Linked DNA regions of Arabidopsis thaliana. The protein of the gene in region 1 interacts with the protein of each later gene in a pairwise test. Each region holds a gene or a part of one and is shown in the gene's direction. Other genes may lie near its edges.

Region 1 (5,445 bases):
ACAGATGTATTGTTGTTCAAAAGCAACGTGGTTTCTTTGACATTAGACTAACAGAGCAGTAACGGATTAACAAACAGAGGAGAAAAAATTAAAAGGATTCGTTTTTTTCTTCGTTAATCAAGACAATTGGGAATAACAAAACAAGCATCAAAGATATTGTTATATGAACGTAATGATCTTACGAACGAAAGACAGACACTTTAACAGAATCTGTTATAGATTTGTCAACGAGATGAAGAAAAAAAGTAGCCTGACAAAATTACAAGCATGCGTATTTGCAGAGGGCTATACCAAGAACAACATAAAAAGACTCAAGGGAAGCTGGAACAGTAGGTGCAAAATGAGGATGATGCAGTATGTCAGAGACATGAACCATATGAAGTTCCCTAAAGCTTGGAAATTCAAGTTTAAATTTAGCTTAGAGGAGATCAAAATGACAAAAAACAAGTTCTGTTGTGAGGTGGAATTCGAGAAAGCTGCAGTGCATGTTGTTTGAGAACTTGAAGAAACTTTTGGGACATAGGCTTATGCAAGATGTTTCTCGCGAAATTGAAGCAGTGCATGGGAAGGAATGAGAATTAATGTTCAAAAGTCTGGATCTGGCTTGTCAAAGCAGACTATGAAGCCAAACTATGAGTGTGTGTTAATGTCTATGGAGTTGGCCATTCAACAAAGGATATCAGAAAGTCAAAATTGAGCTGGTTATACTCTAGACTTTTCAGGAACTTCACTTTCCATTGCAGCTATTTTGAAAATGTGTACAGAAGGTGAGGATATATGGTTACATTTGGAGGACGACTTGATGAGACATTCTAGACTACTTCACATCTCTCTCTTACAAAACACTAGGACAGTGAGGGTGTTGTGTTTGTGGTTCCAACATGTGCACATGCACCTACTTGATTGTGTGATGTGGACTCGAGAGAACATAGATGTGGAATAGTGGACATGTTTCAGACTGAATTACACAACTCATTTTTGGTGTGGAGAAGTTCCACATAAAGCACAAGTGGAGATTTAAGCTTGTACATCCAGTTTGGGAGTTGGAGTTTAGTTTGGATAGTGTTAACTCTGGACAAAGAAACTCTGCTACAAGTTCCAAAGTACAAGACAAATTGTCAACTAAAGAATTTTCTGTCAATTTACAGCAACTGGCCACAGTTTTGCACAATTGTGAGACACAAATTAGTGATTCTACAGAAAGTGAGATTGAAGATAGCTTGGGTCATCTTTAAAATCAAGTAATATTTGTTGAGAGTTTTTTTGATAAATATATTTGCTGAGAGTTGGCATGATCATTCTGATTTGCTAATGTTAAAATTTGAAGTCATTAATGTTATAGGTTTGCTAATGCAAATGCAATTATAAGCATGACGTGACACGACCCACATGCTCCTCCACATTTCATTATTATACACTTGTTTTTCCACTAATGTCATGTTACTTTTGGAGACTTGCTAATTGAATCATTATTTGTTGGCACAAAAAGAACCTATATTTATTCAATTACGCAGTATAGTAAGATTATTTATTTAATTATATGTAATAAAGGAGAAAGCTTTCTTATGGTGTGATGAAGAATGTCTTTTTTTTTTCATTGTTAGAGAATCTTTATAATCATTAAGATTTTGGTTAAAACAAAAAAACGCGCGAATTCCGGCTATTGGTTTATCGAAACCTCTGGCTACAACGTTGGCTTTGTCATATTTTTTTTTTGTTCAAATAATTAAAAGTCAATTAATTAGTGTCACCATCACAAAATATTAAGAGATCCTCCACACACAATAAAAAATTTAGAACAATTCTTTTCCATTTTTGGTTTAAAAATAAAGTAATCACCAATTTGTTATTATTGTTTGTTATTTTCCTTAATCAATTGACCAAAAAAAAAATCCCACAACTTAATTTCACCATTCTTTTTGATGTTCTCTGTATTACAATTGTCAGAGAAGTTTTCTGGATGATCTTTCCTCTAAAGTTTAAAGCTTTTTTTGGTCAATTCTTTTAAAGTTTTGATTTTTTTTTGGTTAATTCTTTAAAGTTTCTTTCTTTCTTAAAGAGGGATCATTATGATGATGATGATGATGATCTGATCTGTACATAAGAGAATTAAAGAACACCAACAACAACAAAAACAGAGGAAGAAAATAAAAACCAAATTTTTCTTGTTGCAATCATTTGAAATTAAATTCAATTCTTCGATTCTTCCGAGCTGGTTCTCGAATTGGGTTTGCTGCAAATTGTGAATCCAATAAAATTTGTTCGTGTTGTTGTGTTGATGGTGATTTGTTAGGGTTGATCCGATCAAAATTTCAATTTTGTATCGTAAAACGATGAGGTTTCTAAGCCTCGTCGGAAACTCATTCGGTTGTTCTGCGTCCGGCGAACGCTTAGTATCAGCGGCCAGAGACGGTGATTTACAGGAAGCTAAAGCTCTCTTAGATTACAATCCAAGACTCGCTCGTTACTCTACTTTTGGCGTTCGTAACTCTCCTCTTCATTACTCCGCCGCTCAAGGCCACCACGAGGTAACTGTAATTACTTGAAAGATCAATACTTTGTAAGATTAGAGATTCTAAAGTTCTGACTTTTATGGTGATTGGTGATTTGGGTTTTGTTTATCTTCAGATAGTTTCTCTGTTGGTGGAATCAGGAGTTGATATTAATCTCCGGAACTACCGTGGACAGGTGTTGTGATTAGTGTCTTTTTGTTCTTTGCATTATTGATTGGTTTTGAAGTAGTCTGAATACAAGAAATTTTTGGAAACAGACGGCTTTGATGCAAGCTTGTCAACATGGTCATTGGGAGGTTGTTTTGATTCTGATTCTTTTTGGTGCTAATGTAAGACTTTGATCAACTCTTCTGACTGATTGTGATTTAAAAATATGTCAGGGATATTGGAACAATGATGATTGTGTTTCTTGATTGTTCGGGTTTTAGATTCACAGATCAGATTACTTAAATGGTGGTACTGCTTTACACCTTGCGGCTTTAAATGGTCACCCTCGGTGTATCAGGATCTTGCTTTCGGAGTATATACCAAGTGTTCCTAATTGCTGGAGCCTTTTAAAGAATAAGAAAACTTCAGTTGCTGGATTCGATTCTAGGTCAAAAGTGTTTTTTGTAAAGAATTGAGGTAATGCTGTAGTCACTTGATGATGATTAGTTGAATGTGTTCTTTGGATGTTGTGGTTGTAGTGTTCTTCACGAAGTGATCAACAGAGCAGCAGATGGTGGAATCACACCTCTTCATGTGGCGGCTTTGAACGGACATATAGAGACGGTGCAGTTACTCTTGGATTTGGGAGCTTCGGTTACTCAGGTCACTGTGGAAGATGGAACTACTATAGATCTTATAGGTTACTATCATATGCTCTAATTGATTAACTTTGACAATGAGTGAAGAGATTCTTTATGTGAAAGACTTAATTTTGTTTTTCGCTCCGGCTCTTTGATTTTATATATTGAAGGTGCTGGGAGTACAGCTCTCCATTATGCTTCATGTGGTGGAAACACGCAGTGTTGCCAGGTATACATGCTTAACTAGACAATCATGATGCTTCTGTTATGTTTCGTTTAAAGTTCACATATGAATTCATTTGGCATTTGTTTTTCTCAGCTTTTGATCAGTAAGGGTGCTTGTTTAGCTGCCGTAAACTCCAACGGGTATTAGATCACTCTATTTCTCAGCATGCTAAATCCAATCAACCAGTTTGATATAGACCTCAATGTCTTAATTCGCTTCATGTTTTGGTTTTAGATGGACACCAATGATGGTAGCTCGTTCATGGCACCGAAACTGGCTGGAAGAAATCCTGAACCCAACAACAGAACAACCACAACTCCATTTGCCAAATGTCCCCTCTCCTTTCCTCTGCCTTCCTTTAATGAGCATTGTCAATATTGCTCAGTATGTAAACTTTACACCTAACTGAAACACCCTATATGATCGCATGATCTCTGTGGCTGATTGGTCTTTTTTCGTTTGTGGATTTCAGAGAATGCGGCTGGCGAGAAAACGATTGTCTGACTCCATGTCGTGACCCTTGTGCCGTTTGTTTGGAAAGAAAATGCACTGTGGCAGCAGATGGTAATGTACCACTTTCACTACCGAAAATGATCTTTGCTTAAAACATTGAATTGATTGTTGTGTGTGACATAACAGGATGTGCTCATGAGTTCTGCACAAACTGTGCATTATACCTAAGCACCACAAGCATAACATCGTCAAAGACCTCAAACGTCACACCAGGCTCTGTCCCGTGTCCTCTCTGTCGCAATGGCATTGTATCTTTCACCAAACTTCCCCATACAACGGCAACAACAAGAACATCAACATCATCAAGAACAAGCATCTCCTTGTCCTTCTGCACTTGCTCCTCTGATGTCTTAGACACAGCTCTCCTAACTAACCCTCACTACAGTTGTAAACCGGTTGTGTCAAGAACGGGTTCTCGAACTCCACAATCCGCTAGATCATCAGCGTTTCGGTCTCTTAGCTGCCGCCGGTTTCCTCCAAGTCTCTGCCTTGGTGGCTCAGATGTTGATGAACCTCGAAGCCGGTTAATTGGTGGATCATATTCAAGATCCGGTGTAGGATTCAGGCGATCAACGTCGCAGGTTGAAGGGAAACGTTCTTGGTTTTCTGCACTTAACCATTGTGTTACAACCGGTGGAAGTGCTTGCTAACTCAAACTCAATCCTCTTTTTTTTCACCTTTTTTATAAAATTTTTGATCCCAGTTTTTTTGGGATTAAAAATGTGCTAATTGATTCTGTGAATGGTGTGGTGATTATTCATTTTGTAATAAGTGAAAATGTTGTAATACAAATAATTAATTTGGCCTTGCCATTACATTGAAATGGTGTGTATATAAAATTATGTTTGAGAGTGAATTTCTTGCGTAGCCATTAGCATCGTTAAGGTATCACTTATCAAACACTTAACAGATAAACGAAGATTACATATATTTAGATAGACGTTTCAGAGGAACTAATAACTGAGAAATTATGGGATTAGTAGTGAATTATACATAAAGCTCAGGAGGAATAGAAACAACAAACCAATACAAAATAAAATACAAAAATGAAGAGAAGATAAAAGAAAATAAAAGAACAATACAAAACTAATAAGCCTTGCAAGGTCAAGAAAAATCTTCTAAATTATAGAAGAACTTTCTGATTTAGTAGAAACAAAACTATTTTTTGTTTTTTTCTGTTTTCATAGAGAAAAAAAAAAGCTCAGCGAGGATAATGCCAATGGAACACTAATGTCCAAGAAATCTTCTTCTCCGTGAGATAGTCACACGTTCGAAAGTACAACCATGATGTAGTGGAGAAGATAGAAAAAGTTGAAAGAGAGAAACGATCATCATTATGATCATAAATATCATGATGATTATGATGATGATCATCATGATCCTAATCAAGAAGAAGAGGAATGAT
Region 2 (5,442 bases), 440 kb from region 1:
TTGGTGAATCTAGTTGACTTTGGGAGAGGAGAAAGAACCGATTTTAGTTATTCTTCCCCATTATTGAAGTCTAGTTCTCGGCCAAATATTCAACAACAAAAAATTGACTATTGTGAAAATTAGGCTTGTTTTGAAATAGGTCTAACTTAAGATATTAACCATAAATTCGGTTATTGTATTGTTGTTTGGTACAATGTAAACCGGTTACTAAACCGGAACACTCTACATATAAAGAGTGTTTCATGTAACAGAACAATTAAGAAGAATAACAAATTTTTCTCATCTTCTTCATTTCTCTGAATTCGTTCATCAACTATTATGGTATCAGAGTGATGGATCTCGAAGATTCATCCGATTCAACCTAAACTCTGAGTATCTTCGAGCTCTTGGATCTTCCAAACTCGTTGATTCTTTGTTTCTTCAATTTTCTACGTTTTCTGGAAAATTTCAGTTGTTTAGAGCTTCGTTGATCTTGCGATGGTTTCCGTAGAGAAATTGCGGCGTCGTACTAGAAGATCGAGCAAAACTTCAGCTGAGAAAACTCCAGATCGTGTTCAAGCTTCACCGATTCCACCGATTCCACCAATTTCGAATCCGTTTCAACAAAATTTCAATTCAAAACCATCGATCTATCCTTTACCACAGTTCGACTTCTCGGATGCTCATTATTCGCCATTCGCGCTCTCAAATGGTGAGTCCTGGGAATACACTTGTTTCTGAGGTACTTGATGGATCTAATTTCTCTTCTTGGAAGATTGCGATGTTTGTTTCTTTGAACGTTAAGAATAAGATTGCTTTTGTTGATGGAACTTTACCAAGACCTCCTGAATCTGATCCTAGCTTTAGAGTGTGGTCACGATGCAACAGTATGGTTAAATCTAGGATCCTTAATTCTGTTACAAAGCAGATCTATAAGAGTATACTTCGTTTCAATGATGCTGCAGAGATCTGGAAAGACTTGGATACTAGATTTCACATTACGAATTTGCCAAGGTCTTATCAGCTAACTCAGCAGATTTGGTCACTTCAAAGTTTTGCTTTCAATGATATCTCTTTCTCACCTTCGACTTTATGGTTACTATGTTCTCTAACGTCCTCTAGACAAGTGTTATCACAAAATACATGGATCATAGATAGTGGTGTTACTCATCATGTTTCTTATGATAGGAATATGTTTGAAAGCCTATCTGATGGTTTAAGATTAGTCCATTTCTAATTTTCTACTAAGATATATTTTTTCCAACTCAAAGTGAAAAAATTGCGAATAGTATAAATATACAATTGTTTATTAAATATTGATGTTCTTAATATTATTACATAAAAATAATTTTTTATATGTAATAGTATTTTTAGAAAATTTGGTTTCTCTTTTTTTTTTTAATAATAAAACTAAACAGTCTCTAAAAATTTATATTCGGTTTGCTTAATGTTAATTTTGTTGTTAACCAAAACTTCGCACCTCCCTTACTTATCCAATTATCAACATTTAATATTTGTTTACATTTATACAATTATCCAATTTATTTACAGCAATTTTTCCGAATTAGTATTCGACTGTTATTGGTGAAATTCGAGCTGGTTAATAATATTTATCAAAAATAAGTTTCTATAAATAAATCAAATTAAAAATGTTTCTTATTTTAAGTTTTTTGACCGTTCGCGTGTCATGTTACGACTACCGGCGTCTATGGAGAAATCACCGCAAAATTTATAGAGAGAGTAAAACGAAAGAGAAGAAAAAAAGGAAAACGAAAAAAAAACGTTTCTTTTTCCAGAGAGGTCTTAAGAGAGAGGAGAGAGAAAAGGCATCGCTTTGTATATAAGCTAAAGAAAAGCCAAAAAACAATCTAGAGGTTGGGAGAAGAAGAAGAAGAAAAGAGAAGAAGCTCTTGTTATCCCGGCGTTCTTAAAACAACGACGGCGACGGTGACGGCTAAGCGGAAGAGCTTTTGTTGCCAATGACGGACTCTTACGGCGCCGTCTCCGTCGACGTTGGAACAATCTATCTTGGTGGCAAGGTTTCATTCTTTAACCTTTGAACTCGGATCCGAATAAAGCTTTGATTTTTGTTTCTGGGTTTATCTTAAACTTGCTTAAATCTAATCTTTCTGTTGATTTGGGGAAGAACAGACATGTGGGCATTGTTAGATTCATTTGTTTTTGTAAAAAAAAGACTCATCTTTTGTTTGAATCAAATGTTCTTGGAGAAATTCTTTGCTTGTGGATTTGTGAAACTTCTTTTATTATTATGATTCATTTCCAGATGGGATTATTCTTGGGATCTTCTTCTTCTCTCTATTCAAAGATATCTTCTTCTTATTATTATTTTGTATTCCTTATTCTTTGTCTTATTGCCTTTTGATTTTTTTATCTTATAGAAAAAAGAAAAGAAAATGCCAGCTGTTTTTGTCTACCATTAACCTTTTGTTTAATAAGACTAATGCTTCTTTATTATCTCATTAAGACTCATATTAGCTCATCTTTTTTAAACTGTCATTCCCTTTTTATTAAAAAAAAACCACAATGATTAGAATTAGGCCATTTCTCTTTGGTTGTTGATGATCAAGTTTTTGGTTTTGTTTTTTTGCCCTTAAAAGTAGTAAAGCTGCACATGGAAAAGCTTTAACAGAGATGTTTTCTTTTTTGTGTGTGTGTTAATCAAAGCATTTCTTTTCCACCTAAAGTCAGTTGTCATATTCCTATCTTTAGTATACATTTACTAACGAGAAAATAGATTCATTGTTTACAAACACATGTTTTATGAATATGGAGTAGACAAATGGTATGGTTAAAAGTTTAGTTTTTTTCTGTTGGTTTCATGATCCGTTACTTTTGTTATAACTTGTTGGTTTCTTGTGTTCAGGAGCATCGTGTTAAAACTGCTAGTGGTGTTGTGTCTGTCATTGTCTATGGAGACAGAGAAAAGCCAGCATTGATTACTTATCCTGATTTAGCCCTAAACCGTAAGGCTAAAGAATCTCTATAGGCACTAATGTAATGGCTAAATTTATTAATGTTTTTGTTGTTTCTTCTTCAGATATGTCATGCTTCCAAGGGTTATTCTTCTGTCCTGAAGCAGCTTCATTGCTGCTTCATAACTTCTGCATTTACCATATCAGTCCACCTGGGCATGAGGTCCAATATTTTAGTTTCTCTTTTTTTAACTTGCCGTATGCTTTGCTTGACGTGATTACTTACTCACATGACTTCTCTGTTTTCTTGCAGTTAGGAGCTGCTCCAATTTGTCCTAATGATTCAGTCCCTTCTGCTGAAAACTTGGCAGATCAGATCCTTGAAGTTCTCAACTTTTTCGGGTAACGATGGAATCCCTTATTTTTGGCTTATTGAAGTTCTCAACTTTTGTTTTTCGGGTAACAATGTATAAGCTTTTTGTTCAGCCTTGGTGTTGTGATGTGTATGGGAGTGACTGCAGGTGCTTATATCCTCACCTTATTCGCGGTATGTTCCTATTTATTTTTCTCTTCTCATTGCCCATTGCTTCAGAAGAATACTGTGTTTATCATCTCTTCTATGTTTTAAAACTTTTCAGATGAAACATAGAGAACGGGTTCTTGGTTTGATTCTTGTCTCACCGTTATGCAAGGCGCCGTCTTGGTCTGAATGGTTTTACAACAAGGTTATCACAAACTTGTTATATTATTACGGAATGTGTGGAGTGGTAAAGGAATTTTTGCTTCAGAGATATTTTAGTAAGGTGTGTTCACTGCAGTTACCATTGCTCTCTCTCTGCACTTGTTGCATTTCCAGACTTCTCTTATTTAAACCGGTTGCAACTGCTTGCTACAGGAAGTCCGTGGTAACGTTGAGATTCCAGAGTCAGATATAGCACAAGCTTGCAGAAGAGTCAGTGTTTATCTCTTCTGTTGTTTTTCTGTTTCATCAATAGATTGATTTTACTGTATCAGTGATTCACACCTTGCACTTTTGGTGATTGTCTCAGCTGCTTGATGAAAGACAAGGCATAAACGTTTTGCGATTTCTTGACGCCATTGACCGGTAACACAACAAACACCTCGAAATCCTTTACCTTAGAAGCATTCATTCATTCATGGTGTCAAATATTGACTTTTCTTTAACTTTATGCAAACCAAACCTTTGCTCTTGCAGGAGACCTGACATCTCAAGTGGATTGAAGAAACTAAAATGCAGGACACTTATCTTCATCGGAGATCAATCTCCTTTCTACTCAGAAGCTGTTCACATGGCAGCAACTTTGGATAGAGGATACTGTGCTTTGGTTGAGGTTTGAGAAAACGAATCCTCATCCTTTGTACTTTACATATAAACACATGTTTGGTTTTCTTGCTACTAATAGATGTTTTCTTGGAAATATTATCAGGTTCAGGCTTGTGGTTCAATGGTAACAGAGGAGCAACCACATGCAATGTTGATCCCAATGGAATATTTCTTGATGGGTTACGGATTATACAGACCATCTCTTTTCTCCGAGAGCCCTAGAAGTCCACTTAGCCCTTCTTGTATTTCACCTGAGCTTCTCTCTCCTGAAAGCATGGGATTAAAGCTTAAGCCTATCAAAACCAGAATTTCGGCGGCTTAAGTGTGTGTGCACTACTGATTCATTGGTTCTAATTTTGCTGAGGAGAAGAAATCTTAGGGCTTTTGTAGATATAGAACAATACTAGGGAGATTTGAGAAGAAGAAGACGAAGAAGAAAAATTCAAGCCACCATCATATAACACATTCTTTTGTAGTCAGCCGACACGACAGTTCTCTTGTTAAGATGCCACAAAATGTTGTTTATTATTTCATTTTTTTATACATATGTAAAATGTTCTGTTCTTGTGACATTGTAACAATTGTTTTGTGACGAACTCTGCAGAAGCAAGTAATAAAATTCATTTTGCATTTTGTTTTTGGTTCTCTAATTGGCCTTACAAGCACATTGATTTCACCAAGTTAGAATCTGGTTTTTGCTTAATATTGATATTTAATGGTTTAACAGTCTTGATCCTGAACTATTTGGATCATCAGATTGAAACTTTTTAGTCTGAATTGAATTGTAAATGGAAATGGAGACCAATCCTTCTTTGCAGAAGCCGTAAGTTATATACTGATATAAGATACGCATAAGGATTAGTTGCGGTTGACGAAAACATAGTCCCTCATGAACCGGGGTAAAGGCGAAGAATGCTTCACTTAGTCTGAACAAGTTCAATGCTCCTCGATGTTTGTCAAGCCCGTAAAATGGATGCAGACAAGTGTAAATCCGAGCCAAACCCGAATACAAAGTAGAAGAAGTGTATAAACTCTTGGATAACTAATGATTGAATAATAACATCAAATTAAGGCCATTTCTTGTATTGAACATCGTAAGATGTTTTGTAAATTACAAATACAACAAAGCTCACTTACCTCAGCACCTCTCTATAAGCGAATGGTCAGAAAGTTTTTCACTTTCAA

The links. The genes of interacting proteins can lie anywhere in the genome.
Region 2: the proteins of XBAT32 (region 1) and NDL1 interact in a two-hybrid assay, tested with the Arabidopsis thaliana proteins (one large-scale study listed by BioGRID).

The regions. Positions count from the first base shown.
Region 1 is NC_003076.8:23,394,034-23,399,478, reverse strand, and holds XBAT32 (uncharacterized protein), read left to right. Parts: upstream 1-1,828; 5' UTR 1,829-2,333; coding exon 2,334-2,528; intron 2,529-2,628; coding exon 2,629-2,688; intron 2,689-2,770; coding exon 2,771-2,842; intron 2,843-2,941; coding exon 2,942-3,108; intron 3,109-3,199; coding exon 3,200-3,360; intron 3,361-3,471; coding exon 3,472-3,530; intron 3,531-3,620; coding exon 3,621-3,667; intron 3,668-3,761; coding exon 3,762-3,911; intron 3,912-3,999; coding exon 4,000-4,091; intron 4,092-4,166; coding exon 4,167-4,690; 3' UTR 4,691-4,894; downstream 4,895-5,445. UniProt on the Arabidopsis thaliana protein: E3 ubiquitin-protein ligase that mediates ubiquitination of ACC synthases (ACS). Negatively regulates ethylene biosynthesis probably via ubiquitin-dependent degradation of ACS4 and ACS7 enzymes.
Region 2 is NC_003076.8:22,956,028-22,961,469, forward strand, and holds NDL1 (N-MYC downregulated-like 1), read left to right. Parts: upstream 1-1,601; 5' UTR 1,602-1,958; coding exon 1,959-2,018; intron 2,019-2,481; exon of another isoform or gene 2,482-2,779; coding exon of another isoform or gene 2,780-2,782; intron 2,783-2,863; coding exon 2,864-2,963; intron 2,964-3,037; coding exon 3,038-3,135; intron 3,136-3,225; coding exon 3,226-3,314; intron 3,315-3,398; coding exon 3,399-3,459; intron 3,460-3,550; coding exon 3,551-3,715; intron 3,716-3,807; coding exon 3,808-3,864; intron 3,865-3,961; coding exon 3,962-4,017; intron 4,018-4,128; coding exon 4,129-4,264; intron 4,265-4,360; coding exon 4,361-4,579; 3' UTR 4,580-4,889; downstream 4,890-5,442. UniProt on the Arabidopsis thaliana protein: Interacts with the heterotrimeric G protein beta subunit GB1 and plays an significant role in GB1-dependent regulation of lateral root formation. Involved in a signaling pathway that modulates root auxin transport and auxin gradients.